Linked DNA regions of Mus musculus. The protein of the gene in region 2 purifies or fractionates together with the protein of the main gene of each other region. This does not show direct contact. Links are inferred from orthologs where the notes say so. Each region holds a gene or a part of one and is shown on either strand. Other genes may lie near its edges. The genes, in order: Atpif1 and Mtmr9.

Region 1 (15,658 bases), on a different chromosome or scaffold from region 2:
GATTACGCTAGGCTGATGGCTGATGACTAAGCAGCTTTGGAGATCCTCCTGCCTCCAGCTCCCTTTGCCCCCCTCCAGACTAGTTACAGGTCCTCATGTGGATACAGAGGGCACTTTATTGTCTGAGCCATCTCTTCAGCCATACATTTGGATTTAATTGGTCCTAAGATAATGTTGATTCTCCTCTTCTTCCTCCCCACCCTTCCCCAACTTCTCTTCCCAGGCTGGGACTCAAACCCAGGAACTATTCAAGTGTTTGACCAGTGGGGTAGACTTTTTGTTTGTTTGTTTGTTTTTCAAGACAGGGTTTCTCTGTGTAGCCCTAGCTGTCCCGGAACTCATTCTATAGACCAGGTGGCTTTCATCCATCTGCCTCTGCCTCCCCCCAAGTGCTGGGATTAAAAGTGTGTACCAGGGGCTGGCGAGATGGCTCAGTGGTTAAGAGTGCCGACTGCTCTTCCGAAGGTCCCGAGTTCAAATCCCAGCAACCACATGGTGGCTCACAACCATCCGTAACAAAATCTGATGCCCTCTTCTGGAGTATCTGAGGACAGCTACAGTGTACTTACATATAATAAATAAATAAGTAAATCTTAAAAAAAAAAAGATTTGTTAAAAAAAAAAAAGTGTGTACCATAACTGCTCAGCTAAAAACAACTTTTGGGTTAACTGCTGTGGAAACCTCCAAGAGCTAGGATCACGAGTTTGCACTGCAGAGGCATGCACAAACATGCTGAAGGGCCTCCTGTCACAGCCGACATGTCAGTGCCAACACAAACCACAGCCATGTCTACACTTACCCAAGGAGCCTGCATCCATCGATCCATCCTCTGAGGAACAGACAGCAACCACTTCTCACACCGCATGGAAGAGGGAACTATTGGCATCAAAACCGCAGCCCTGGAACTGTAGCTAAGGGTTTTGAGAGCACTATCGGGAGGAAACAGCTTTCTGCTCAGGACAAACTTCACAAGACCTTGGAGAAGTTACCTCACAACCTGCTGCAACTCTGGCTATAACATGAGGCTGAGGATGTAGCACAGTGGTAAGGTGCATACTTATAGTACATACGGGTAAGAACCTTCATTTGATTTCCAGGAGTATCAAGTCTAAAAAAGTATGCATAATTAATGAAAATGGGGGTGCTGGAGAGATGGCTCAGCGGCTAAGAGCACAGCGACTGCTCTTCCAGAGGTCCTGAGTTCAAATCCCAGCAACCACATGGTGGCTCACAACCATCTGTAATGGGGTCTCATGACCTCTCTGGTGTGTCTGAGAGAGCAATAGTGTACTCATGTATATAAATAAATAAATATTTAAAAAATTAATGAAAATATTTTGCCAAAAATAACTTCAGATGTAACAAGCAGATAATTGTAACTTGCTCTGTAACTTTTACATCTTGTGCAAGCTGTAAATAATCTATTTTATAAAATTCTATAGGATTAGCTCTTTTTTTTTTCAAGACAGGGTTTCTCTGTGTAGCCCTGGCTGTCCTGGAACTCACTTTGTAGACCAGGCTGGCCTCGAACTCAGAAATCCGCCTGCCTCTGCCTCCGGAGTGCTGGGATTAAAGGCGTACGCCACCACGCCTGGCTTGGATTAGTTCTTAAAGAAAGAAAATGGGGGGCTGGAGAGATGGCTCAACGGTTAAGAGCACCGACTGCTCTTCTGAAAATCCTGAGTTCAAATCCCAGCAACCACTTGTGGCTCCCAACCATCCATAATGAGACCTGAAGCTCTCTTCTGAAGTGTCTGAAGACGTGTACTTACATGTAATAAACAAACATATATATCATAAAAAAAAGGGCCGGGCAGTGGTGGCATACTCCTTTAATCCCAGCACTTGTGAGGCAGAAGCTGGTGGATTTCTGAGTTTGAGGCCAGCCTGGTCTACAGGACAGCCAGGGCTACACAAAGAAACCCTGTCTCAAAACCAAACGAAACAAAAAAATCAAAACAAACAGAAAACAAAAAGAAAAGAAAGAAAAGAAAAAAGGAAAAAGAAACCAAAAAAGGGCTGGTAGGATGGCTCAATGGTTAAAGGTGTTTGCCACCAAGCCTGGCAATGATCTGGATTTGACCCCCAGAACCCACATGGTAGGGAATGGAGTCCTCTCCTAAGTTGTCCTCGGATCTCTGCGGCAGAAACATACTCACTCACCACTCCAAACCTTCCCCATACCTAAAATAACTGTGTAAAACACACACACACACACACACACACACACACACACACACACACACACACACACACAGAGTCCACAGCAGTAGAACGCTGAGTCATCTAGACATTGAATACTCACACAACCGGGAAGACTTCCTCAATTCCAATGCAAGGGGGAAGAAAGGTCTGCCCTGAGATCTCTGCACTGAGGGTCATAAGTTTTACTGTGTTATTCCTGGCAACGTTTTCCATACCTAGTGCTGGGATTATACCAGGCCCTCATGCATGTCTAAGCAATGGCTTTACTATGGAGTTAGGTCAACTGTTGGTCTCAGAAGGCCAGACTGTTTTTTGTTTTGTTTTGTTTTGTTTTTTCCTAGAACTAACTGACCAGGCTAGCCAGGAACTAACAGAAATCTGCCTGCCTCTGCTTTCTGAATGCTAGGATCAAAGGTGTGTGCCACCACTGCCTGGCTCTATGTATCTTTTTAAAAAAGAATTTGTTGGAAAGTGAAAAAAAAAAAAAAACCAACTTTTTTTTTCCTGAGACAGGGTTTCTTCGTATAGTCCTGGCTGTCCTGAAACTCACTCTGTAGACCAGGCTGGCCTCGAACTCAGAAATCCGCCTGCCTCTGCCTCCCGAGTGCTGGGAATACAGGCGTGCGCCACCACGCCTGGCTTTGGGAATGATTTCTAATTGTAGTTGTCTCACGCTTAGAGCAATAGCTAGTTCATATGAAAGAGCCAGCCTTCTAGTAAGACAGTGCTATTGTTTCTGGTCCTAGCCTTAGAAACCACTCTGTTTACTCTTTCCTCCAGACCGCAGCTAGGCTTAGGCATTGGACTGGGGTTTACGTTTCAAGCTGTCTCTGCACATTCTGATTAGACTGAGGTCAGGGTCACACCCTCCCCCGTACTCTATTTAGTAGAAACCCTCAATTCATTCTAATGGATGAGAAGTTTCTGTCCCTTAGTGGTTCTCAACCTTCCTAATGCTTCAACCCCTTAAAGGTTTGGTTGCTACTTCATAACTGTAATTTCCCTGCTGTTTTTCCGATCAGAATGTCAATATTTGATGGTTCAGATGTCCTTAGGCGGCTCCCGTGAAAGGGTCGTTCTACCCACAAACGGGGTCTCAAGCCAAAGGTTGAGAACTGCTGCTCTAGACAGTAGAAGGCATCAGGCAAGTTTCCTGGTGATCGTTTATTATCTGTTAGTAGCACACAGACCAAATAGTAATCATTCAAAGCCATGTGTCTACAGACGTGGGGAGTGATACGGGCCACTCTGTGAGGGACCGACTGCGCGCATTCAATGATTATTCTTTAGTTGTTGGATCTTCTTCTTATGGCGTTCAATTTGCTTCTGCAGACGCTCTATCTCCTTCGAATGGTGGTCAATCTCATCTTCATGGTGTTTCCTCAGGGCAGCCAGCTGTTCTTTAGTCTTCTCTCTATAAAGAAACAGTGGCTGAGGGATTTAATCCAATCTTTCATCTCAAGGAGATCTTTACTTTACTTTAATCACATTTACTTGTATATGTGCACAGGGTGGGGTGGGAGGTGGGGGGTGCAGCTTGTGGGAGTCAGGGTTCAGTTCCCAGCATCCACATGATGGCCTACAACCATCTATAACTGCAGTTCTAGGGGCTTCAACTGCTGTCCTTGGATAAGTTCCAGATTGAAGTTTCCTGAGTTGGGAGGGAAAATTGGCTCTGGAAACTTTCTCTCCTAGAGAACTCAGGCTCCATTTCTAGAACCCACACAGCAGCTCACAAGCACATGTAACTGCGGTTCCAGGGTACTAGCCTCCACAGGTACCAGGTACTCATGGGATATACATACATACATATATGCAGGCAACACACACACAGAAAATCAGAGTGAAGAGACGGCTCTGAGATGAAGATAATGTATTTCTCTTCTAGAAGAATCCAAATTCAATTCCCAATACCAATGTCAGGCAGCTCACAACTATCTGTAACTCCTCTCTACTGGTTTCTGATGGTCCCCACACACTTGGCCCAAGCATGCATACACACACACAAAAGTGCACATGCACATACAGGCATGTTTAAATAAAGGTGTGCAACACCGTGATCAGCTTTTTTTTTTTTTTTTTTTTTTTTTTACATTTTTTACATTTTACATGTATGTTTTGGCTGCATCTTTTTATGTATGGCTTTCATGGAACTCAATATGTAGACCAGTCTGGTCTCAGACTCAAGAGCTCTGCCTGCTTCTTCTGCCTCTGTCTCTAGAACACTGGGATTAAAGGCACAGGATACATGCATGTATTGCCCATGTAGGCCAGAAGGGAGTTTGAGATGCCGTAGAACTGGAGCTATGGACAGCTGTTAGACACTGTGAGAGCACTAGCAATAGAACCTGGTTCCTCTGGAAGAGCAGTCATTGCTATTAGGCCCTGAGCCATCTCTCCAGCATAGGACCTCAGGTTGGTTCCCAGTACCCGTTTCTTTTCTTTTCTTTTTTTAAATTTTATTTTACGTATATGAGTACACTGTTGCTGGTGGATTCCATTACAGATGGTTGTGAGGCACCAGGTGGTTGCTGGGAATTGAACTCAGGACCTCTGGAACAGCAGTTGGTGCTCTTAACCGCTGAGCCATCTCTCCAGCCCCCAAGCACCCATTTCAAGAGTTTAGAACTACGTGTATTTCTAATTCCAAGGGCACCTAATCTCTAACTCCCAATGGGCACCTGTACTTGTGCACATATCCCAACACCGTCACAGAATTAAAGGAAAGAAAACTCAAACACAATCCAACAAAACAATAATACATAAGGTAAAGGACATAGGTCCCAAGCCAGGAGTGGTGGCATAGCTTAAAATTCCAACACTTGAAAGGCTGAGGCAGGAGAATTGCCATCCTGATAATTGTTTTGTTTTTAAGATTTATTTATTATACATAAGTACACTGTAGCTGACTTCAGACACACCAGAAGAGAGCATCAGATCTCACTATGGGTGGTTAAAAGCCACCATGTGGTTGCTGGGATTTGAACTCAGGACCTTTGGAAGAGCAGTCAGTGCCCTTACCCGCTGAGCCATCTCACCAGCCCCCTGATAATTGTTTTTTTTTGTTTTGTTTTTTTTGGGTACTGAGACTTGAAATCCAGGTCTCTGTTTAAGTTCTTATTCCATAAATGAGCAACAACCCCTATGGGCTTAGGACGCAGACCAAAGGAGAAACGGAAGCAAGATTAGTTTCTGGCTGCTCTCCAGTGGACAGAAGTTAAAGATAACTCAGGGCCGGGAAAAGGTTGTAGATAGACCTAGTCCACTCCCTATTTCTAACCAGTCCAGAGAAATGTACAACCCAGGGCCTGAGTAGTGCAAGTCTCCCGGAGTGGGGGAAGTCTAACCTTGAGCAGCTACTATCTAGATCATGAGAACTGGAGACACGTGGAGGATCTAGAAATGGCTGACAGGATCTGAGGCCTCAGGGAATGGACACAGCCTTACAAAAACTAAAGAGAGGAGAGGGAAGTTGGGGAGAAAAGATGGGGGTGACAGGTGAGTGAGCCGGGCTCAGAGGCTCTGCATGTTCTGGCTAGTTGTAAACACTGCTCGGAGCACCTGGGGGAGTCTCGCACAACCAGGGGTGCAGAGGGGATGACTGCGGGGGAAATGCGGGGAAGATGACAGCAAACGATAAATTAGGAGACTACCCTTGGGCTGAGTCCTGCAGAACCGGTGTAAAAGGCTTAAGGCTGGCTGGGAGGCCAGCAGTGCGATACTAGCAGTCTCGACTACGAGGCGACCCGATGGCTTCATCAGCCTTGGAATTCTGCCAGAAGATGGGCGCCCCAAGGGACCAGGTAAAGATGGGTGGAGCGACAGAGAGCGTAGAAAGGACAGGGAGGACGACTGGGGGCTGGACTTGGGACCAGGTGGGCCTCACCGGAAGTACCGATCCTCTTCAGCCTTTTCTCGTTTTCCGAAGGCTCCACCAGCTTCTCGGATGGAGCCAGCGCCCGTATCCATGCTATCCGACTGCAAAGAGAGTCGTGGACGTGAAAAGAAAAGGCACAACAAGGGAGAGAGAACCTGCGCCCCGCGATGGGCGCTGGGCCGTGCCGCCACCTACCGAGTCCGAGACGAAGCCTCGGGTTTGCAGGACCTTCATACCCCAGACACCGAACCGAGCCCGAACTGCCAACGCCGAGCCTGCCATTGTCTTCGGCGTTGCTCAGCTCGCGTTGCGGGCGTGGCTGCTTCTCTCCTAGCGCGCTAACTGCGAGGGCGGCTGAACTGCCAATCTAGACGCCGGGGAGGTGGGACGAGCACGGAAACCGCGAATCAGGAGGGAGGGGGCGGGGCTTATGATATCTGCAGCGTTTGTTGAGAGGGAGGCGGATTTATCCCTTAGTTAACAGTTAATAAACAAGGCTCTAACGCATCATGACCCAGGAGTCTACAGAGCGAAGTCAAAAGATGAATCTTGGCTTTTGGTCTCTTTAGAATGAGGCATTTCGTTCACTCCCACTGCACAATTTCCGTCCAAAGGTCGATTTTATTAAAAATGTACACGATGGCAAGCCCTATGGACATGAATAGATTGGGGAAACACAAAGTTTGTGGTAGCCATGCCTAGGATGCCGACAGCCTGGATATCGACCTCAAACCTCTGTTTATACATATGAAATCGTGTTTATCTCTTAAGAGGTGTTCTTGTTCTTTGGTTATATTGCCACTGCAGTGCCTTCTCTCACCTTAAATGTCACTTTCTCAGAGAAACCCTTCTTTGACCTTCCTAGTCATCCTGACAGCAATTTTTTTTTATCCTTGCTTCTGAGTTCTTTCTCACAGTTTACTTTGTGAAGCCATCAGAGCCTTAGTAGGTAGTGAATTAGTAATTTTGAACTGTATCAATGTGTCGGTGAATGGACCTAATAACTTGGTGACGGGCTACAAGGACACTGAAAAGAACATCAAGCGAACTGGTGGTACAAACCTGTAATCCCAGCACTCCTGAGGCACACAGGAAGAGCTTAATCTAGCTTAATCTAGCCTATTCGACAAAGGGAATTCTGGGCCAGCCAGGGCTTCATAACAAGATCCTGTTTTCAGAAACAAACGAATAAACACCCACACCCCCCCATACACTCCCCCCCCGCACCCCCCCCGCCCCCCACACATAGGGCTAGTGCTGGGCCCCAATGGTGAAAGGAGAGAACGGACTCTTGAAAGTTGTTCTCCCTGACCTCTCCATGTGCATTGTGACACTGTGCCCCCACTAATAAGTAAGTATAATTTTAAAAATTAAATAACAAACTCCAAGCACAGATCCTTATACATGCATGCTCATAATTGCTTCCATCCCATTTTCCGATTTTGTCCCTACCTCAATGAGATCTGTTGTAACTCGGGATGGCCTCAAACTCGCAGTGAAGAAGCCAATTTCTCATCTTTCCGTCTCCACCTCCCCAGAGTTGGGGTTACAGGCATATGTCCAGCTTCATAATACTATTTCACAGTGGTCCAAAGGTGAGAAGACCCCAAATGTTGAACTACTGAAGAGGTCAACAAATCATAGCATAGACATACCTTTGAGGAATTGGATGCCACCATAAAATGCAGTAAAAAAAAAAAAAATTTTTTTGACAGTTTTTTTTTCACAGGCCTGGCTGTCCTGAAACTTACTATAGAGACTAGGCTGGCCCCAAACTCAGAAGATCTGCCTACCTCTGCCTCTGGAGTACCAGGATAGGCTCCACTGGGATAAACTCTTAAAAAACTGGTACATGGTGGTTACCCAGGCCAGTTCCAGCACTCCAGGGAGTCATGTAGATCTCTGTGAGTTTGAGGTCAGCCTGGTCTACAGAGAGAATTCCAGGACAACCAAGGCTACACAGAGAAATCCTGGGTCAAAAAAACCAAAAAACTGTCACATGAAAAAAACCTAAATAAGAATTGTATAAGTAGATTCCATCCATGGGAAATGTCCAGAATAATAATAGGTATATCCAGAGACAACAGATTTCTTTCTGTCAGAGACTGGAGACAACCAGGGCAACACTATGAAACTTTATCCTTATTCTGAAAAACCAAAACTAAAACCGAAAAAAAAAAAAAAGAGGTCTCGGCCCCTTTAAGTTCAGCTGGCGGGCGGGGAGTCCGGGAAGGCGGGCTTGGGTGGTTACGTGAGGCTGCGCTTGCGCAGAACGGTCACGTGGTGGTTAGCCGGGAAAATGGCGGCTTCGGGAGAGAGTGGTGCTTCGGGTGGCGGAGGCAGCACAGAGGAGGCATTTATGACCTTCTACAGTGAGGTGAGCCCGGAGTAAGGATGGTGGCCTTAGGACGACCGTGCTCCGGCTTCGTCCGCCGCGGCTGGGGCCGGCGAGGCGCCTCCTGGGACCGTTGGCCCGCGCCGTCTGGCCTGGGGACTGCGGATCGGCTGCGGAGTGCATGCGCGACCGCCACTGTGGCTACTGAGGTCCCCGGAACGCGGCGGGGCGGCTGGGCCTGTGGACCCAGACCCGGAGAGGGGCCCGGCGAGCTGCTGGTCGCGCGGTGCAGCCTGCTGGCGGTGGAGTCTCCGGCTGGCGGAGGCCGAGCTGCGGCGCACCCACTTTTATTTGTAAACAGGAAGGAGGCCCTTGTCCCACTCCTCTGCCATGAATTGTGCGAGTGGCGATTTCTGCGGTCTTATCAGTGCTGAGCACTGTTCATCGGGACAAGAATGCGTATGTGAACCCTCCATCTTTAACATGACGAACCTCTTAAGAGGGTGCATACGTTCTTGGTGTCAGGTAGGACAGGAGTGAACTTGCTCTGAGCCTTGTTGACATTTGCATCGCCAGTGCCTAATGCGTGGTGGATGTTTCGCATATATCCGTTGATTAAATGAATGAATAAACTGAGTTAAAGTTAGCTATCTGGCGTCAGAGGCCCACATATTGCGTTCTCGCAAGGCAATTAGCCTAACTGCTGTTGAAATTTCAAGACATCAGTTCCCACACTGGCAAGTTAACATTGTAAGAGTTTTCACGACGATTAAAGGGTTTCGTGTATAAAAAAGCAGCTTGAAAATTATAAAGCAGTCGTTTTCGAATTAAGTACTTTCTGGTAGCCCAGGTTGGACCCTCTTGCTTCAGCCTCCAAAGTGCTGGGACCAGAGCCATTATCTCTTGTGCTTATAAGAATACTTGTAAGCCGGGCGATGGTGGTTCATGCCTTTAATTCAGCACTTGGGAGGCAGAGGCAGGCGGATTTCTGAGTTCAGGGCCAGGCTGGTCTATAGAATGAGTTCCAGGACAGCCAGGGCTACACAGAGAAACCCTGTCTCAAAAAACAAAAACAAAAAAAAAATTTTTTTTTTATGTTAGGAAATATTTTTTTCCTTCACATTGTTAGCATATTTTGCATTGCTCACAGTTGGAGAAATTTTGGTCCATCTTGGTGGAAAATGGAGGCAGGGCAGTTGACATCCTCAGGCAGGAAACAGAGAAGAAAGGCCTGTGCTTCCCGGTGCAACATTGACAATCAGCACGGACTCTGATTTAGCCCTCTTGTGTTTTTATTATATTTTTTTAAATTTAGTTTTGGCTTTTTGAGACAAGAGTTTCCCTGTACAACCCTAGCTGTCCTGGTGCTTTGTAGACCAGGCTTGCCTTGAACTCACAGAGATCACCCACCCGTGTCTGTCAAAGATGGTTGCCGCCATCACCCTGCTTGTCCTTTTGTTTTTAAGACAAGTACCCAATGAAGCTTAGGTGGCTTTACTCACTTCGCAGTGTAGGCTGCTTGGAACTAGGGCTCACTCTCCTGCTTCAGCCTCCTAAGTGCTCGTGTACAGGAATGAGCCACCACACCCAGCCGTTTTCTTTTGCCAAGGGTCAAACCCAGGATCTTGTGCATGCTAGGCAAGAACTCCACCAACTGAGCCACCTCGTAAGTCCTTCATAATGGTGTTGAATGTTGCTCATAGGTCATGGTTCAGTGTGCATTTTGCCTTTCAAAATGAAAAGAAAAAAAAAGATAGATTAATTGTACCCACATGCAGCTATATAGGTCTCTGGTGGTAGTTGTGTTTAGTATCTGGGAATCCTCTCGACCTCTGATTGTGAGTCAGACATAGGGTAAATTTCTAACAAGTTAGGTAATTGGAAACCTCACTTTCTGTAAGCCATAATTTCCCTATAATGGGATAATGGGGGCTGGAGAGATGGCACAGCGGTTAAGAGCACTGGCTGCTCTTGCAGAGGTCATGAGTTCAATTCCCAATAACTGCATGGTAGCTCACGATCATCTGTAATGAGATCTGATGCTCTCTTCCGGCATGTGGGTATTCATGCAGATAGAGCATTCATATTCATAAAACAAAATAATTAAAAAAAATGTGGAGTGGCTAATACTCCTGGAGAGAAGTGTTTACATAGTAAATGTGAATTTTACAGATTGCATGTAGCGTACATGTATACACAAATGGGCACAGAGGTCATTGTCATATGTTTTTCACTGTCCATATTATTCTTTTAGACAAGACCTGTCACTGAACCTGGAGCTCAGCAGTTTAGCCGGGCTGTGCAGGGTGTGAGCTCTGGGGGCCTCCCTGTCTCCTCCCTGCCCAGCTCTGGGTTTCCAGGCGCACGCGGCCATGCTTAGCATTTACGTGGAGATCTGAAATATCATTGTAAAATAGCTACGCCGCTGTGGTTGTTCTCCAGTTACCAAAGTGTCTTGGACATGGGAGATATAAATCGTTGTCTGCTGAGCATTTTAGCGTTGTGTTAAAGTAGATATATTTAGCTTATTCTTACTAATGGGATTACCAATTCTTTTACTTTTAGGTGAAACAAATAGAGAAGAGAGATTCAGTTCTAACATCCAAAAATCAAATTGAAAGATTGACTCGTCCTGGTTCCTCTTACTTTAATCTGAACCCATTTGAGGTGAGTAGATTGTTACTGTAGAGTTTGGTGGGAGAGCTTTGCATATGACAGTTATGTACGAGTTCGTTATTGTTGCTGTAGCTTCTATGGTGGACAGCTTTCCATACGTATACGTAAGTAGGGTTGTTTGTTTGTTTGTTTGTTTTGAGACAGTCTCATGTATTCAAGGTTGGCTTTGAACTCCAGATTCTCCTGCTTCAACCTCCCAAATGCTGAGATTGTGGAAATGAACCAGCATACCTGGGTTTTTTTGTTGTCTTAGGTGTATTTATTATATTTATATGAGTACACTGTAGCTGCTTTTAGACACACCAGAAGAAGGCATCAGATCCCATTACACATGGTTGTGAGCCACCGTGTGGTTGTTGGGAATTGAACTCAGGACCTCTGGAAGAGCAGTCAGTGCTCCTAACCGCTGAGCCATCTCTCCAGCCCTGGCCAGCTGGTGTATTTTTTTTTAAATGATTTTAGAGCTTTATTGTAGAAAAGCACAGAGAAAGAGGGAAGGAAAAAGAGAGAGAGGCCCGCCATGGTTATGTGGAGAGAAGGGGGGAAGGGAGGGGAGAAGGGAGCTAGAGATGAGAGTAAGAATGTCGAGCTAAAGAGCGCCAGCTGTTTTTGAAACAGGATGTTACTGTAGCTCACTGTGGCCTGGGGCTGGCTCTATAACCCAGGTTAGCCTTGAGGTTTGACTCTATGGTTCTCCTGCCTCAGGCTCTAAGTGCTGGGGTTATAGGTGTAAATCATAGTACCTGGCTTGGGAGCAGACTTATGTAACAGCGTACACCCCAAAGTTCTATTGGTTGGGAATGAAAAAAGGGTGGTGATGTTTTTGTGACAGGCAGGTTGTCTTTGAGGTTGAATGCTTTTATTGTGAGTAGACTTGTTGAGGCAGCTTGTTAAAGCACCAAATGAGATAAACTTGGTCTAGTTAAATGTTCTCCAACCTTTAGTAGCCCAAGTAGACAAGGATTTGTTTGTTTATTTTGCTATAGTTGGTCTGATAAACTTATGGTTTTTGACCTTAAAAAATGGTAGTCCCAGATAAGAAATTCTCTGTGCATTTGGGAGGCAGAGGCAGGGATATCCCTACAAGTTTGAGGTCAGCCTGGTCTACATAGAAAGGCTTGGGCCAGCCTAGGGCTCCAGCAAGACCTTGCTTCAAAAAAATAAAACAAAACAAAGTAAAAACTTTGCTAAAACTTTTTTGTTACAGGAAAATAAGAAAACCAGATATTCAGTAAAAACAGAACTAAGATCAGGAGATTTTAGAGAAGCGAATGCCCTTTGAGTTTTTGAACATATCTCTAATGTAGCCCAGAGTGGCTCAGCCTAGTCCTCCCACTTCCTAGTCCTGAGCACTGGGAGCACAGCGTGCACCACCCACTGCGCCTGCCGCTGAGCATTTCTTCTCAACACTAATCACTGTTCTTTCTCATGTGATAGAAAGCCAAAAGTCATTTACCTCAAATCGCAGTGGGTTGGCAGTGTGTCCTCCTTTTTTTCTTCAACACAGGGTGGCAGACAGATTCTGGTGCTACCCTCAGTGGCTCTATTTAGGTCTATTCCTTTAACCCTCTAAATACACTGATTATTATTATTTTTAAAATGTTAATGTATGTGTATGCCTTGTCTGCATTTGTATATGTATACCATGTACATGCCTAGAATCTATAAGAGGTGTCAGAGCTGGAGATCCAGGGGTGTGACCCACTGTGTGGGCGCTAACTCTCCAGTGGGGGCTCTTAACCACAACCACTGAGCCCCCCCCTCTGTATGCAGTGGGGGCTCTTAACCATTGAGCCGTACCTCTCCCCTTCCTTCCCCCCCCTCACTCTCTCTAATCTTTGATACTGGGAATCAGACTGAAAGGGCTTCAAATATTACTTAAGCATTTTACCATTGTGCATACTAGATTGGCCCTTGATTTTTTTTTTTTTTTTGGTTTGTTTGTTTGTTTTGTTTGTTTGTCAAGATAGGGTTTCTCTGTGTAGCCCCGACTGTCCTGGATCTTGCTTTGTAGACCAGGCTGACCTCAAATTCACGGTGATTCTCCTGCCTCTACCTCTTAAGTTCCGGGACTAAAGGGGTTGTGCCACTCTGCCTGGCTAAGGTTTATTTTTATATACACACACATATACATACATATACTTTTAAAATTATGTGAATATGTGTAGATTTGTGTTCATCAGTCCAGGTGCACATGGAGACCAGACATGTTGGATTCCCTGGAGTTACAGGTAGTTGTGAGCCATCCAAGATGGGAGCTGGTAACCAAATTTGGGTCCTCTGCAAGAGCAACAAGTATTCTTTTTTTTTTTTTTTTTTTTTTTTTTTAAAGATTTTTTATTTATTATTATATGTAAGTACACTGTAGCTGTCTTCAGACACACCAGAAGAGGGAGTCAGATCTTGTTACGGATGGTTGTGAGCCACCATGTGGTTGCTGGGATTTGAACTCTGGACCTTTGGAAGAGCAGTCGGGTGCTCTTACCCACTGAGCCATCTCACCAGCCCGCAACAAGTATTCTTAATCACTGAGCCATTGCTCCAGCCACTATTTTTATTTAAACTATGTGAACACGTCTGTGTGGGTCTCTATACCTGTGAGTGGGTGAGAAGGTGTGCATGGGGGGCCAGATCTGTTGCATTTCCTGGAGCTGGACTACAGGTGGCTGGGAGCTGAGCTCTCCTCGTTCTAGAGCAGTGCATGATCTTAGCCTCTAAGCCATCTCTCCAGGCCGTTTTCATTTTTATAATCAGAGTCTCTCTTTTTAGCTTAGGTCAGCCTATAACTTTTGTCTCAACTTCCTAAACACTAGGATTATAGGTGTGAACCAGTGTGCTGAGCCTATGTTCATATCTTTACCCTACTCATCAGTTCTGACAGGGCGTGCTTGGCAGCCTACTCGGAGCTTGCCCTCCTCATCCTTTCTCAGCACTCCATGTCAAGCTGCTGTTCTGTGTGGACACCATTCTCCCCCAGCATGGGCTCTAGCACTTGACTAAGTACTACTTGGGTGTTCACTCCCTTCCTTGTCCTGGTGAGCTCTGTGCTCTGTGTTCTGGACTATGAGATTGAGTGAATAGCACTTCACTTGGTTTTACTTAATGGAATTAATTATACTGCCCAGGACCAAAGTGGAGACAGACGGCATGTAAGGAGGTGGCTACATACTTAAACACACGCACACTCACATATACAGATTCTCACCCCTCCTGGATTGGTTGGTTGGTTGGTTTTAAGATGATGTCTCATGTCTCAAGATTGGCATTGAATTTGTTACATAGCCACGGATGGTCTTGACTTTCTGACCTTACGTGGCAGACTTCCAGGACTACTCCCTGCAGTTTTCTGTTTTTGTTGCAACTGTGCTGCTTGTAACCAAGGTTGGCCCTGCACTTACCATGTTTCTGCCTCTGTTTTCCTAGGATTGAGATGACATATGGGCAGCCATGTCCAGCTTTACAGTTTTGATCTTGGTTCTTCCAGGTTCTTCAGATAGATCCTGAAGTGACAGATGAAGAAATAAAAAAGAGGTTTCGTCAGGTATGGTACTGTTGCTCGCATTAGAGTTTGCGCTTCCTTCCTGTTTGTTTCTTCCAGATGGGGTTTCATGCAGCTTGGGCTTGCCTAGCATTTTCACTGTGTAATTAAGGGTGATCTTGAACCTGGGGTCCTCCTGCTTTCACCGCCTGAGTTCTGGGATTATAGGCACAAGCCACACTGGCTTTATGGGGTGCTGGGGACTGAACCCAGGTTTTCATGTGTACACAGCACTCTGTCAACTCAGCTACATGACTTTTGAGGACTAGATACTTTTGGGCTGAAATTAACCCTGCATTCCTTTTCAAATTAAGGCTAGATTAACAGTTGTTGTTACAATCTTACAGTAACGCATACATATAGTGATATAAATGTTAAATAAAAGCAAAAGTCAAAGCACTTCGCTTGGGTTTACTTAATGGAATTAATTATACTGTCCAGGACCAAAGTGGACACAGAAGGCGTGTAGAAGTTTTTCTGTGGATATAATGATTTTTATATCCAAATAGAGTAACTACAAACTTATTTTTATTTGAGGTAGGATCTCATGTTGTCTGACTGTCCTCTAACACCTGGTTTGTATGATTGTCCTACTGTAGCCTTTAAATAGCAAGAATGACAGGCACAAACCATACGCCTAATCCACTCAGTAACTGTACCTCTTACAAATGGTTATAAGCACTCAAGAAATACCTCGCTTAGGTTCGTAAGATGACTCAGCAGGTAGAAGTGCCTGCTGCTAAGCCTGAGCACCTGAGTGTGATCCCAGTGACCCACATGGTCACGCAAATTGTCCTCTGATCTCCACACACTTGCCATGGCGTGTCTTCATACCCTCCACCCCAATAAATGTAAGAACTTTATAAAAAGTAAGTTACCTGCCTTAATGAAACAAGTGCTTTTTGAACTTTCTTCAGGAAAGTAGCTCTCTGATCCCTGATTCCTGCCAATGTCTTCTTCCTTCCTGTCTTCTTTGCATCATCATGCTTCTCACGTGTGAGTGAGACCTGGCCAGTGCTGACCCTC
Region 2 (15,690 bases):
GTCCATAATAAACATGCTGAGGCTCCACATTGGAGCAGTGGTGTCACTCCATCAGACTATGAACGGCCTACCGGATCCCAGATTTTCTATTGCAGTTTCCTTCACACTATGCTCTGAAGATGAATCTAACCTTTCTAAAGCTGAGCAGTAAGAAAGAATTTAGAGCATCTTTGGGAAAGCTCCCACTCCTGGGGCCCTGCAGTTTACATGAAGGATGCACTAGTAGGAACAATCTGGCCTGACTTCAGAGGAAAGCCACACAGACAAGAGATCATTTTCAAGGATCCAGCCCACAGGAGACCACCCGCCAGCAGAGTGGCAGCCCTCATACTCACCATGCCATTCTTTTTATGGTAATAGCTCAGGACTGGGAAGCGCCCCCCATGTCGGAAGGCTGCTACCTTCCGAAGTGCTTCGTCATCGACGGACTTGGGCACAATGACAGTTGGTGGGTAGGAAGGACAGATAGAAAAGTCCTTATTGATATAGCTCAGTCTCCATTCACTGGTCTGAAAAACACATAGCACTTCAAAACTTAGCCACCGTTTCAGTGTCATAGAGCATCTAAGATTTAAAAGTTTTGGAAATGATTTCCAGGGAAGCCATTCAACAGGGAATTTGGATATCTAGCCCACACTCAAGTCCTGTAGAGGAAAAAAATTCCACTCTTCACACCAGCTTCAATAGCTCTGGAATGCCTAGTGATCAGTGTCCCTAGAAACTGCTTGCTTGTGCCAGCCAAACACACCTATTGTATGTGACGCTTAACCATCATTTGAAGCTTAAACTATGACACAGACAGCACAGCCTAAGCTCTCCACAAGACAGCCTGGCAAAGGTTTAAGACAGTTAAAGACAGTTCTTTCCTTATGACAAGGAGACACTCCTGGAAAGCCCTTATGTGTCATGAGGTCGTTTCTAAGTCAGCTCCTGCATTATGGAAGCATGTGACAGGAAACCATCAAACAGCAGAAATGAAAACTGCATGTAAAATGTAAAACTGCACTTTACAGCTAAAAACCCATATTACATGTGCAAACTTTAATATGTGCCTAAAAATTCAAGCTGATCCTACATATCAACCCTGGCTTAAGTTAATAGAAAATTAGGGTAAAATGTGAAACAGAAACTTTAATTTACAAGATCAAATTCATACAAATTTTAATTGCTTTCTTCTATTTTCAAACATTTTGCAAAAGTTTTTACTTACTTTGTTGACTCGGTGTATGTGTGTGCATGTGTGCCTGCTGTAGCATGTGCACATGTGCCCGTGGAGGCATGAAGAGGCCATGGGATTCACTAGAGCTGGAGTTATTGGTAGTTGCAAGCTGCCCCATGAGGATGCTAGAGCCCAGCTCAGGTCCTCTGGAAAGCAGCAAGCTCTCTTTAACCACTGAGCCATGTCTCCAGCCCCACCTGATTTCTGTACTGTTCCCACTTTGTGCTCACTTTCTCATATTTCCTTAGGCAGTTTTAACTACTGCTTTAGAATCCTTCAAACATCTGGGCCATCTCAGGCTGAGTGCCTCTTGACTCTGTCCTCAGGAGAATGGGTGACATTTCTTACTCTATAGTTTTGGTTGCATCACAGCCCTTGTGAAAGCAGACACATTTGGTGCAGAGGTTTTTAGCATGCTTTTAGACCTTGGTAGCTTAATGAAGTCCACAGCCTGTGCTGCATGGTGGCTCAGCTCCATGCTCACTCTGTTCACAGCCAGAGACCTGGGTTGCACACAATGTCAAGGTTCCTTTCTCAGGCCTGCTCCTGCCCAGGGTTCCTCACTGCCCTCCTGCATCACTGATCGCCTCAGGCTCCTTCCTAGCTTTTCCTCCTAGAGGAACAAGGGCTTCTGTCAGAGTGTGAGCTGCTCTGAACGACCAATGCCACAGTATGCTGATCTCTAACAAAGCCACTGAATGAGACTAATGAGATGTCTTTATAGATATTCTAAATATTCTGTTCTTTTAATATCACATTGCATGGGGCGAAGAGACATAACTGATAAGCAGAAGTAGATAATACTATGATTATAGAATTTTGTGGTTGGCAAACAAAAGAAGCTCAAAACAAACAAACAACAACAAAAATTACCCAGCTTTCCAAAATCTACAGATCAAGACAACCCGTCCTTCTCAAAGGTTTTCTAATGATAGACACAAGATCTTATGTCCCATTCTATAAATACCATAAAGTCTTACATTCTTTTATTCACTTAACAACTCTTTACCACTTGCTGGTCATGTGCCAGAAATACCGCATAGGAATAAACTCGCCTCGATTCCTGACCCTGTGAAGCGCACACGCTCACTGCTTCCTAGCCCAGGGGGAGCAGTAAGCTATGAGCACAGCCAAACTGCTGCTTCCCCACACTTGAAGGATGCTTCTTACAGACTGTTCTTCCCGCTTCCCAGGAAATTCAAACCCTGGCTCCCTTCTTATTTTAGACACATCCTTCAGGAGCCTATGGTTCCCCCTTACCCCATGCTTTTCATAACATGCAGTTTGATTCCTGCCAACTTTTTGTCTTTAATACACATCTCTCAAACAAGCTCTAGACTAAACTACATTTTCACCATTTTCAATGGTATTTATCATACCATAAAACTTCCTTCTTCCCTCTGCTACCACGGGCATCTTCATTCTTCAAATGCCATGGATCCCTAACCTCTACTTCTTGATTTCCAAGTGACCATTTATAAAAGTAAGAAAAAGAAGCCAAACAGTCAGGAAGGAAAACCTGGTTCCTGCAGGTGGCCTCAGAGACCAGGCCAGGCGTTAACCCAGAGCAGTGCACAAGCCAGGTGAGGAGTTCCCCAGCACTATCTTAGGCACACAGTGCCCAAATCTATTATATATTAAGTCGTTAGTCAGGAGATACCTATTAATTAATGCACAGTCGCCAAGGTGAGCTTTAAGCAAATCAGTGCTTTATTTTTATTTATTCTTTTAAGATTTATTTGCTGGGCGTGGTGGCGCATGCCTTTAATCCCAGCACCTGGGAGGCAGAGGCAGGTGGATTTCTGAGTTTGAGGCCAGCCTGGTCTACAGAGTGAGTTCCAGGACAGCCAGAGCTACACAGAAAAACCCTGTCTCGAAAAACCAAAAAAAAAAAAAAAAAAAGATTTATTTATTTCATGTATGTGAGTACATTGATCCTATCTTCAGACACACCAGAAAAAGGCATCAGATCCCATTACAGATGGTTGTGAGCCACCATGTGGTTGCTGGGAATTGAACTCAGACCTCTGGAAGAACAGCTAGTGCTCTTAACCGCTGAGCCATCTCCCCAGACCATTATTTTTATTTTTTAAAACAATATTTATAAATATAATTTAAAAAAAAAATTAAAACACCTAGACTATGTTAATCTACTAGAAGGAAAAGCATTGCCAGCTGCAGACATTATACTAACACACGGACAAAATAACCAGCTCAGAACAAAAGGAGCTGAACCAACAGCCAGTGCACACTCTTAACTTGAGGCACGAATAACCCAACTCCACCTCACTCATCTTCAAAGGGAAGAGAGGATTTTCACAAGTAAAATAAAGGGTTGTGTCAGTTCTTATCACCCACAATGTCAAATGTTGACTCACAGCAGAAGAGTAGAACTCAAATTCTTGCTCAGGAAGGAAAGAATGCCAGCCATCTTCAATCACTTCAAACATGGGTCGGTAGAAGAAAGGGTACATCAGGGTGACCGAGTCCAGAGTGGACAATGCCTAGAGAACAGAAAGAAAAAGATTCTACAAATCTAACAAAGTAGCAGTAGGCACACAGGGTCTGGTGATGATGGAGCCCAATACGTGTCTCTCCATGCAGCTCGTCTGACTCCAGCATTCATACTTCATCATCTAACAAGACACTGACACAAACACCTACACTCAACAAGTGCTGCCTGAATGAAACAGGCACCAGGACAGTCTGTGCCTAGTGAAATAATGCTTCCTGGTACAATTTAACGAAGCTCAATAAAATGTCCAAGAATTTCTGGGTGCTGGGGAACAAGGAGGTCTGGATTAGTTAGTAAAGTCTCAGCTAAAAATCTAGTAATTAACTAAACACTGCAAACTATTCAAAAGCTATGTCCCCTTATCAATTATTCCTTTATTATATAAAGGAATGCTCAATTCTGGCCAGAAGCCTCAAGCTCCAGATCCCAGCTACATAGTGGTTAAGTCACATAGCTTCCCCTGTTCAATGGAAGAAACTTTTCAGGCTTATTAGGAGTGTCCATGGAGATAAGGCATCTAATAGGCCAACAACAGTCAATGCACACAATAAAACTAGCTCTAACAAGATACACACATGTGAAAGCTTCATCCACACTCACTTCCTCCTTCCTAAAGGGATCTGGCGAGGCGTCCTACTATCTCTATGCTACACTAGTTATGCCCAACCAAAGTGAGCCCTAGGCATCCCTCTGTCCAAACAGTGGAACATTATCTCAGTTTGCTTTCTCATTCATGTTGGGGAGTACAGCCAAGTCAAGAGCATACTTCCAAGTGACAACTACATATGGCAGACTATTCAACTTACATGCTCATTTCTTCCAGTAGAACTTGGCAAAAGCAGAAAGGTTTGTGTGTCATTTCCTCGACAACATATTACTTGATCCTCTACTTCTTGTTGAAAGCCAAACAAAATTCTAATTATAGATTTAAGGCTTTCTCTCTCCTTTTAAGAGCTAAACCCACTATTTTTTTTTTACATAAAGCCCAGTAAGTCAGTTACACAGAAAGAAAATAAAATCAGCTTGACTCTATAATTGCCTAGAAATTACTTTAAACAGTCAGTTGATATAATTGATATAATTTAGTGGCAGCAATTTAAAAGTTGGAGTAACCAAAATAGTTAGAAGAAGGAAAAGAATGTGAGACCTTCATCAGAGACCTTAAACTATCCAAGCAAAGTTTCTATGTGTGGCTCAACGCTTTTATACATGCATAAACAGACACGCCTTAGGTGAACTGGCAAAAACAAATACATACGTGCAGACATGCCAAAGTCACAAATGGCAACTGTTGGTGACAATCACTTGCTTTGTCTGTATACACAACACTGAGAGTATACATCTGACACACAGTGCAATGGTAAGCTAAGAAATGGTACGACAGTGAACTTTATGTGATATGGCTAATTTCTACCACAAAGTCTCAAAATAAAGCTGTTGCCATAGAAGGGTCCTCCAATGACAGCAACCATTTGCCAATAATTATACTAAGCATTCTACATAAACCCACGAATGTAATCGTAAAACACCTATAAAAGGCAGGTAATGTCATCTTCCTTTTATAAGACACTACAGGCTAACTGTGAGAGGTGAGGTGCTTCACCCATAGGCCCCATGTTAACAGGACCTCACTACTGCAACAATCACAGTATAAGAGCACTGCTCAGAGTTGAAGGGTTTCAGAGCTGCTCCACTCAGGATGACCACACTTGCTCACTGTGATGCCCAAGGACTGTAACATGGCCACAATCAGCTACACTGTATTTGTTTTACTGGCTTACAATTTCACATAGGATGTTCTTTCAGGAAATCTACAGAAACAGAAAAACAGTTCACAAACTGTCTTCAGAGCGAAAGTAGCAAGATTCGCACAGTAAATGATTCTTATGCATCAAGGGCTGTACAAAATCAAAATATCGCCATTTTCCTATCAGAATTTTGCCTGCAGCATACTTACCTCAATGGAACTGGCTATATTTAAACACTCCTCCATTCCAGGAATATCCAACTGAATGATTCGGAAATCTTTACATTTTATGATGATGGTACCCAGAGAGCCCACAAATCTGTAAGAAATTACATGAAATCATGAAAATGGTAAGAAAACTAGTGAGGACAGTAGGTGAGAACCAGAACACAGAGAACCAGGGATTCAGTCTTTATCATGCAGGCATGAGAGACCATTGAATACATTTATGCAATAAAGATGAACTGAGGAGTCTAGTAGTCTGCTGATGGTATCTTGTACACAGATACACACATACACACATAAGTAAAAATAAAAAATTTAAAGTGATGGAGTAGGGAAATAAAGATGAATTAGTTCCTATGTTCCTTTAGAGCCAGCCCCTTTCTTTTCACAAGAAAAACTGAATGTTAAGGGCTAATGATTACCCTCAGTGGGAAGTGATCATTCCAGAGAATAAGTAAGATGCAATATGATAAACTCAGTCTTCCCTAAATGAGCAGGGGTGTAAAATTTGTCATCCACCTGCATCGGCACTCCCCATCAGCTATTACAGGGGTGCACCTTACCGATTTTAAAACGTTTTAAGGAGAGACTAAAATGCATATGCATATATATGGAAAAAATGACAGTGTACTCAGTTAAATACTATGGCCAGGCATAGCGGCCCATACACACACAACTGTAATTCCAGCACTTACTTGGGAGGCTGGGGCTGGAGAGTTGGAAGTTCAAGACCGGCCTATGCTGCAAAGGGCTGAGCATGCCTATTTAAAAACGAGATCGTGGGGGAGGGGTCGCTTTAAATTGTATTGAATCATAACTTCGTGAAGTCAGATTAACAACAACCAATAATTCAAGAAATGTGGTGGAAGAAATTTTTTTTTTACAAAGAACATTTAAAAATACGCCCAAATGCTGTTCAAAATGACCACTACGACTCTGAGACCTTAGCCTGGGGATGCCAGGTGGCCAGTGCAGATAGATCTAGGCCCCAGAAGGCTCATTTGGCTGGCTGAGCCAGGATACCCATAAAAAACCACCTGAAAGCGTCTGTTCCGTTCCAGGCTCCTCCGGGACCTGGGTGTGGTGGGCGCTCACCGTTTGTCGATGGCGTCGATATTTGAATGGAGGAGCCAGAGCTCCTCCGTGTTGTCCTGCCGGGAAGACAGGATCAGGTGGTGGCCTGTCAGACACAGGGTCCCTTCCACGGCGGTGTAGAAAGGCCGGTGCAGCACCACATTGTCTACCCGTGGGGTTTTAATCAGCTCCGCAAACTCCATATTGGGCGCAGCCTAGGGGCGGGAGGCCCAGTCCCGCAGGTGCCCGGCGGTTAATCCGCAGACCCGGACGGAGCCCCGGCTGGGCGGGCCCGGGAGGTCGAGCCCCGCCCCGGCTGGGCGGGTGCGCCAGGGCCTGCGGGCACCGCCCTGGCCGCTTCTCCAAGTCTCTTCCGCACCACTGGCCGGGACTCGGTCGCAGAGAAGGCTTCCCGCCAGGCCCTGCACTCCCCGCTGCCACCGGCGTCTGACGGGCGGGCTGCGGAGGAGACGGACCCGGCGTCGGGGCAGCAGCATCCGAGCCCGAGCAGCCAGGGACTTCTGGCGGAAGTAGCTGCTGAGCGTTGCACCCGGCAGGAACTCCTGCACAATTAGAGGGACTCGAGACTCGGAAGACATAGAAACCGGACCGGAAGTTGGTACTTTGCTAGATCCGGTGGAACACAGCCAGAAACAATGACTTTATGGTCCTACAATGGAAAAACAAAACAAAACAAAACAAAACCAACCAAAACCTCTTTCACCTTCTACCGCCGCAATCCTTGCCCTTCAAATATTCCTTATCGGAAAAGGCGAGACGAGAAGACGTCGCTGACCTGCCAGCCTCCACATGAGTGCTGTCCCTCAAGGGCTCTTCGTTTGCGCTACCTGGTAGTTGTCTCATGAATTGGTCACGAAGAGATGTCAAATGTAGGATGGAAGCGGAGGTTGTGATCGAAAAGTAGCATCTTGGTGTCTGGAAGAGACATGGGACAATCTATGCTTTAGACTCTTTGAGAGCGCCATGACTTTAACCAAGAACAGCATATTCTAAAAGGATGGAAAGAGAAACTGACTAATCCTCGCCCTGCGAAAGGACTCTAGTGTCTTCAGAGATAGTTCAGTTAATCTGTAGCAAAGCCTGAAATCAAGACCTTGGTATATTGGTCACGACTTCATAGTATCCCGGCTAAGTACAGTCTAGCTGAACTGCTCACGGACACTGCAATGACAGAGTTTTGCTGTTGTAATTTCCCTCTTCTTTTTTTTTTTTTTTAATTTTTTATTAGGTATTTTCCTCATTTACATTTCCAATGCTATCCCAAAAGTCCCCCATACCCCCCCCCACTCCCCTACCCACCCACTCCCACTTTTTGGCCCTGGCATTCCCCTGTACTGGGGCATATAAAGTTTGCAAGTCCAATGGGCCTCTCTTTCCAGTGATGGCCGGCTAGGCCATCTTTTGATACATATGCAGCTAGAGTCAAGAGCTCCGGGGTACTGGTTAGTTCATAATGTTGTTCCACCTATAGAATTTCCCTCTTCTTGCTTTCTATCCCTCTACTTTATCCCAGAATAAGAATTATGTTTGAGTCCTGGCCTGCTTTTACTGTGTTAGCAGTGAAAATTCTCACCACCCAGTCAGTGTCTACGAACAGCAAGGTAGCTGACTTCAGAGTGTGCAAAGTGAAGTTGACCAGATTGCACAGTGTTTGTCCTTGATTTTGTTCTTGTCTTTTCTAAAAACCTTCCCTTCCTAAATCACTCACTCCTGCGATCCAGTTTATCTGCAAAAGGAAAACAACCAGCAATGGATGCTGATGGACTGAGGTGAAGTAATGTGGAGGTGTTTTCCACACCGGATTTGTTTACTTTCCTTCCTCACTTGACTCATTGTATTAACTACAAATTGTGGAATGGAAAACTTTTAATCTGAAAAATAATGAAAAGTTATACAGAGAAAAAAATGAAAGTAAAGCCTTGAAGGGTAAGGCTCCCCGAATGGAAGATATCCAAGGAAGAACTTAGTGTCCAATTTAGTATATGCTAGAAGATAGAAAGTCTCCATGGATTCTGTGGCCCTTCTGGTTTTCTTGAAAATAAATTATGAAAACGTTATTTCATTAAGTTAAAATGTTTCATGCTCTATAAAGTCATAAATTAGGATTTTTTCCTTTTATTTGTTTTTTGCCAAGAGAAAAAAATTAGGTATCTTCTGAGTTGTTATAATGAAGTACCAGAAACGATTAGGAAATTAAATCACCAGTGATTTGAAGTTCAAAGCGTAGAAAGTTCACTAGCGCTGAGAAAACCAAACTTAGTAGTTAGGAATAAAGCCTGAGTAAAGAGCAAGAAACAGTTCCCCACATAAGCAGTAGGTGGCGGTAGAATTCAAAGTCAATGGGATATGCCTCTATTAAAATAATCCAATGATGTAGTCAAATATTAACTGTCCAAACAGTCAAGAAATAAGGGCCTCAGGGGATTCTGATAAGCCAAGAAAATAATAAAATTTATAATGTGTACAATGGATTTACTTAAGGACTATAAAGATAGCTCAATGGGTGCCTTAGCATTCTATTGTGAAGAGACACCATGACCACAGCAACTCTTTTTTTTTTTTTAATTAGATATTTTCTTAATTTACATTCTAAATGTTATCCCCTTTCCAGGTCTCCCCCGGAGACACTCTATTCTATCCTCCCTTCCCCTGCTTCTATGAGGATGCTCACCCACACACTCCCACCTCCCGGCTCTCACATTCCCCTATACTGGGGCATCGAGCCTTCACAAGACCACGGGCCTCTTCTCCCATTGATGTCCGACAACATCATACTCTGCTACATATGCAGCTGGAGCCATGGGTCCCTCCAGGTGTACTCTTTGGTTGGTGGTTTAGTCCCTGGGAGCCCTGAGGGTCTGGTTGGTTGATGTTCTTTTTCCTATGGGTTGCAAACCCCTTCAGCTCCTTCAGTCTGTTCTCTAACTCAGTCTGATCACATCAACTCTTATAAAGGAAGGCATTTAATTGAGGGTGTCTTTTGGTTTCAGTGGTTCAGTCCATCATCATCATGGCAGAACATAATAGCACACAGGCAGACAGTGCTGGAAAAGGAGCTGAGAGTTCTACATCTGGATCTTTAGGCAGCAGGAAGCTCTAAAGAGCTGCTGGTCTGACTTGAGCATTTGAAACCCCAAAGCCCATCCCCAGTGACACACTTCCTCCAACAAGGCCACACCTTTCAAATAGTGCTAATCCCTATGCTTTCAAATATTTGAACCTATTAGGCCATTCTTATTCCCACCACCACAATGGGTAAGGAGCAAGTGTAAAGACCTAAGGTCAAAACCCCAGAACATATACAAAGAAGAAATCTGAGTCTAAAACCCCAGTGCCAGAGAAGGGGGACAGAGACAAGAGGATCCTGAGGGTTCACAGGCCAACCACTGTAGCAGAAACAGTAAACTCTGGACCAACCAATGAGAGAAACTGACTCAAAAATAAAGTTCAGAGGACTCAAGAAATGCACCTGATATTGACCTTCAAACTCCCAGGCCCACACAGTAATATACACCTGCACACACACACACACACACACACACACACACACACACACACAGAGAGAGAGAGAGAGAGAGAGAGAGAGAGAGAGAGAGAGAGAGAGAGAGAGAGGACACACCATAAAATTGAATTGAAATATTAAGGAGCACTGGGAGATGCCTCAGAGATTGAGAGTAGTCACTGCTCTTTCAGAGGACCCAGGTTCACTTCCCAGCACCCACATGGAAACTCAAAACTATCTTTAAGTCCAGATGCAGGGAATCCAGTGCCATCTTCTGGCCTCCAAAGGCATCAAGCAAGCACAAAGAGTACTACATACATTCAGGTTAAAACACTCATACAAATAAAGTGAATGTTTTTTTAAGAAAAAATTTTAAAGGACTTCGTCATTGCCTTGCAGGTACTACTATTATCTTTATTCTCAAGATTAAAATGGTACAGGTGTATAATCAGAAAAATTTCATCCTGAGAACTACAAACAAGAAAACGTGATTGTTGTCTTTCTGCATCTGATTTGTTTCCCTTTACATGATCCAAAGTCCATCTACTTTCCTGAAAACACTAATTTCTTCTGCGCATATGAATAAAAGTGCATTGAGAGTGTCACTTTTTTTTTATCCATTCAGCTATTGACAGATGTGGCTGATTCATAGCTTAGCTATTGTGAACAGTCTACAATAAACATTGATGTGCAAGTCTCTCTGTGGTATTTTGATTGGAAGTCCTATGGGCAGATGGTCAAGACTGGTCTAGCTGGGTCATTGTGGTAATTCTATTGTTAGTTTTCTTTTCAGTTATTATTTTATTTTACCTTTTAAGATTGATGTCTTATATGACATGACACAGGCATGGGTTAGGTGAGAATTCATACATTGAGGATTCTGGTGATTGAACTTAAGTAATCAGGCTTTGTCAGCAGCCATCCTTTCCTGCTGAACCATCTTGATGATCTCACTGTTAGATTTTGGAGGAGCCACGTACTGTTTTCTGTTGCACTTGAACTAATTTACATCCCCACCAGCAGTATAGGAGGGCTCTTCTCCATCCTCAAATGCATTTGTTGTTGTTGTTGGTGGTGGTGGTGTGTGTACGTGTGTGTGTACATAGATCTTCTTGTAGAGATCAGAGGACAACATATAGGAGTTACTTCTCTTATTTGGGTGGGATCAAACTCAGATGGACAAGCTTGGTGGCAAGCACCTTTTCTGCCTAAGTTATTTCAGCTGCTCTACACCCAGCTTTTTGCCAGTGTATTCTAGGGGATTAAACTCGGGGCCTTATGCTTTCATGGCCAGCACTTTACTGACTGAGCTGTCTCCCAGATCTGCATTTGCTTTTTAAAGGATGGGCACTCTGACTGCAATGGGATAGAATCTCGATGTTTATTTAATTTACCTTTCCCTGATGGCTGAGGATGTTGAACACAGTGGCATACATCCACTGGCCATTTTCTGTTCATCAATTTATTAGCCTATTGATTGATTGAATTGCTTGGGTGTTTGATAGCTTGTCTCTCGAGTTCTCTATTCTAGCTATTAGTCCTCCACCAGATATAGCAAAGATTTTGCTCCCATTCAGCAAGCTATCCCTTCTCTGTGCTGCTGATGCTTCCTTGACTGTGACAAAGCTGTTCAGTTTCACACAATCCCATTCATCAATCTTTCAGATTAGTTCCTTTGTTAGTAAAGTCCATTCCAAGAAGACCTGCCTATTCCTGTATCTTTAATTTCCCCCACCTTTTCCTCTAGCATTTTTAAAGTTTTAGATCTCACATCTAGGTCTTTGTTCTGTTTTGAAATTATTTTTGTGCAGAATGAGAAATAGAGATCCTCATGTGGATATCCATGCATGTGGGAGAGTCTTCCATCTTCTAGGGCCCTTTTTGGGTTCTCCAATGTTTCCGAACTTTAACAGAGACTTTCATTTCTTTGGTTACATTTATTTTTCTGAAGCTGTTGTGTGTGAGATTGCTCTCCTGATCCCTTCCTTGGCATGTTCACTGAAGGCATAGGAAGGCAACTGGGATTTGTACTTTGACATTGGTGCTGCTATTTTACTGAAAGCATATATCAATTCTAAGAGCTTTCTGGTGAGATCTATTATGTAATCTGTAAATAGGGATAATTTTACTAGCCCCTTTCCTACTGATATCCCACTGGTTTCTCTTGTCTTGTTTCTCTAGCTAAGACTTCAATCACTATACTGAGTAAGAGTGGAGAAGATAGTCACCCTTGGTTATTTTTTTTTCTTTTAGGGAAAATGCTTTGAGTTTCAGTACGTTAGCTATATCGCCTTTAATTTGTTGAAATGTTTCTTCTATTCCTAATTTCCCCAGAATTCTTATCATGAAGAGATGGCAGGCTTGTCAGAGACCTTTTCTACAGCTGTTGATATCATCATTGATTTCTTTCCTTAAGTCCATTTATGTGATGTTCTTCACTTATTAATTTGCACTACCCTTACATACTTGAAATGAAGACAACTTGATCATGATGATTTCTTCTATATGAGGTTGAATTCAGCTAACCAGTCTTTTATTGAGAATTTTTGCATCCATGTTCATCAGAGAGATTAGTCAATAATTTTTGTGTGTATGTCTTTGGCTGGTTTTGATATCAAGGCAATACTGGATTTGTAAAATGAGTCTGTTTTAAATAATACTGTTTTATTTAAAGTAATACTGTTGCTTACTTTTCTATTCCATGGAACAGTTTGAGAAACATTAGTGTTGGCTCTTTAAGGTCTGGTAGAATTCAGCAGTGAATCCATTTGGGTCTTGTAGATATTTATTTTAATCTTTCCCTGTACTTAACCCAAGTCCCATCGTGACACCTCCTTAGGCATCTGGCAGCATATCATATCTCCTCTCTCCTACTCATTCCCTTTCAAGAAGTCCTTATTCTTGACAGGTGGTGTCAGCACACACTCTACATTGTGAGTTCTAGGACAGCCAGTGCTACACAGAGAAACTATCTCAGGGAGGGGATGGGGTAGAAGGTCTCGTTTCTACTGACCTTCATTTTTCATGCCTGTCAGATTTAGTCTCTACCAATATCTTGTCTTCTTTTAAAAAAAACTATTTGTTTATTCAGTTTCTATGTGCATGACTGTTTTACCTGAACACATGCATGTGCATCATGTGTGTGCAGTGCCCGTGGAATTCAGAAGAAGGCACTGAATCTCCTGAAAGTGGAGTGGCAGTGTAGGTCCTCTGCAAGAGCAGAAAATGCCTTTAAACACTGAACCATCTCTTCAGTCTCTATCTTGTCCTCTTGACCTCTCAGTGCCTGAAGTCCTTCAGCTTCTATGTCAGATGTCACTGTCTCCCATTTTCCCCTCTGACTAAGGGTACTACATTGTGTGATCTCTACAGCATCATGTGATAATAGCTCTCCACATTCTTGAACATGCTGAATAATTTACATGTATAGCTGCCTCACAGGCTGGTGTTAAGGGCTGAATTTTGTATTCCCCAATTCATATACTGCTACCCTAATTTCTATACATCTAAATGTGACTGCATATGGAGATAAAGATCTTTAAGAGGTAACCAATTAAAAGATGACTGTCCTGTGTTGAGTTCAGGTTATCCCCTGTTCGAAGCTACTCCACATTGGGTTTCCCAGTGGTTTTTCACACTGTGCCTTGCCCTAGGGGACTTCACTTTACAAGCCACTTTTGACTCCATTTTGAGGGCAAAGGATGACTGCAACCCCTGGGAGGAGCAGCAACTGCTTTTCTTCCAGGTTCCACCCATCAGCACAGACTGACAAATGGAAATCAAAAGGGAGACATGCTATAAGTTTACTGGGAATGAGTTGAGACTGTATGGGCATATGAGTCTATTAAAATTATACTACAGAAACCAGGTCCAAGAGCTTATCAGACACACTAGACCACAGAAAGAACACAACTCCCTCATCTGGCCTCCATAAAGTGATAGACACACAACACTCTGATATAATGGTCCCACACCAACCTGTCACCAGATACAGTGTGGATCAAAGATCAGCAAGCAGGGAAATCCATGACTGTCTCTGGAGCTTTAGCTCTGCTACATTCTCTGCCACTGGTGTGGTCTACTCCACTGCCTGCCTGTTCACATGGTTACCCATCTAGACCTGACCTGACCTGACCTGACCTGCTGTTTGTGGCTCCTCACCCACTTTGTTTTTTTATTTTTTAACTGAACCCTGCAGCTTCACTCTCAAACCTTGACTGCAGCAGCAAAAACGGGCACTGTTCCTGTTCATTGTCTTATAAATAAAGACTCTCTCAGCCCTCTTCTGAAACTTCTTGGACCATGCTGCAGCCTCTTTAACTTATATTTATTCTGTAACCCATATATGCATGTAGACATATAAATATGTCAATATTTTTGCCTTGTGCTAGGTGATATGAGAACTAACATTAGTAATTAAGATTGGAATAAAGAGCCGGGCGTGGTGGCACATGCCTTTAATTCCAGCACTTGGGAGGCAGAGGCAGGCAGATTTCTGAGTTCGAGGTCAGCCTGATCTACAGAGTGAGTTCCAGGACAGCCAGGGCTACACAGAGAAACCCTGTCTTGAAACAAAACAAAACAAAACAAAACAAAACAAAACAAAACAAAAAACAAAACAAAAACAAAAAAACAAAAACAAACAAACAAAACCAATCCAACATCCACATGGTGGCTCACAACCATCTGTAATAAGACCTGATACCCTCTTCTGGTGTGTCTGAAGATAGTTACAGTGTACTCACATAAATAAAATAAATAAATCTTTTTTTAAAAAGCAATTTGGGGAAGAAAGGGTTTATTTCACTCAGTTCCATACAAAAGTTCATCACCAAAAGCAGTGAGAGTAGAAATTCAAGCAGGGAAGGAACCTGGAAGCAGGAGAGATGCAGAAGCCATGGACGGATGCTGCTTACTGACTTGCTCCCCATGGTTTGCTTAGCTTGATTTCTTATAGAACCCACGAATATTAGTCCAGGGGTGGACCCACCTACAATGAGCTATAATTAATCAACTCCTAATTAAGAAAATGCCCTATAGGCAGACCTAATCTTATGGAAGCATTTTCTCAGTTGAGACTCTGTTGTAGTTTGAATAGGAATGGCCCCCATAGATTCATATGTTTGAATGCTTGGTTGCTAGGGAGGGGCACTATAAGGAGGTGTGGCCTTGTTAGAGGAAGTATGCCACTGTGGAAGTGGGTTTTGAGGTCATATATTCTAAAGTTATGCCCAGTGTGGTACATAGTCTCCTGCTGTCTGTGGATCAAGACGTAGAACTCTTGGCTCCATGTCTGCTCCCCTCTGTAATGATAATGGACTAAACCTCTGAAACTGTAAGCCAGCCCCTGTAGGCTCCAGTTTTTCAAAACCTACCCTTAATAAAGG

What was found.
Region 1: the proteins of Mtmr9 (region 2) and Atpif1 purify together in Homo sapiens (affinity purification with mass spectrometry; 5 studies listed by BioGRID and IntAct, with this or other methods). This does not show direct contact. The link is inferred for Mus musculus from reciprocal best matches to the Homo sapiens genes MTMR9 and ATP5IF1.

What each region holds. Positions count from the first base shown.
Region 1 is NC_000070.6:132,527,204-132,542,861, forward strand, and holds Atpif1 (ATPase inhibitor, mitochondrial precursor), read right to left. Parts: upstream 8,212-15,658; 5' UTR 7,536-8,211; intron 6,733-7,535; 5' UTR 6,366-6,732; coding exon 6,279-6,365; intron 6,185-6,278; coding exon 6,093-6,184; intron 3,621-6,092; coding exon 3,479-3,620; 3' UTR 3,352-3,478; downstream 1-3,351. Other genes in the region: Dnajc8 (dnaJ homolog subfamily C member 8), read left to right, coding at 8,383-8,460, 10,984-11,085, 14,579-14,635.
Region 2 is NC_000080.6:63,536,657-63,552,346, forward strand, and holds the start of Mtmr9 (myotubularin-related protein 9), read right to left. Parts: upstream 7,298-15,690; 5' UTR 6,984-7,297; coding exon 6,802-6,983; intron 6,469-6,801; exon of another isoform or gene 6,402-6,468; intron 5,801-6,401; coding exon 5,692-5,800; intron 3,724-5,691; coding exon 3,598-3,723; intron 510-3,597; coding exon 336-509; intron 1-335. UniProt on the Homo sapiens protein: Acts as an adapter for myotubularin-related phosphatases. Increases lipid phosphatase MTMR6 catalytic activity, specifically towards phosphatidylinositol 3,5-bisphosphate and MTMR6 binding affinity for phosphorylated phosphatidylinositols.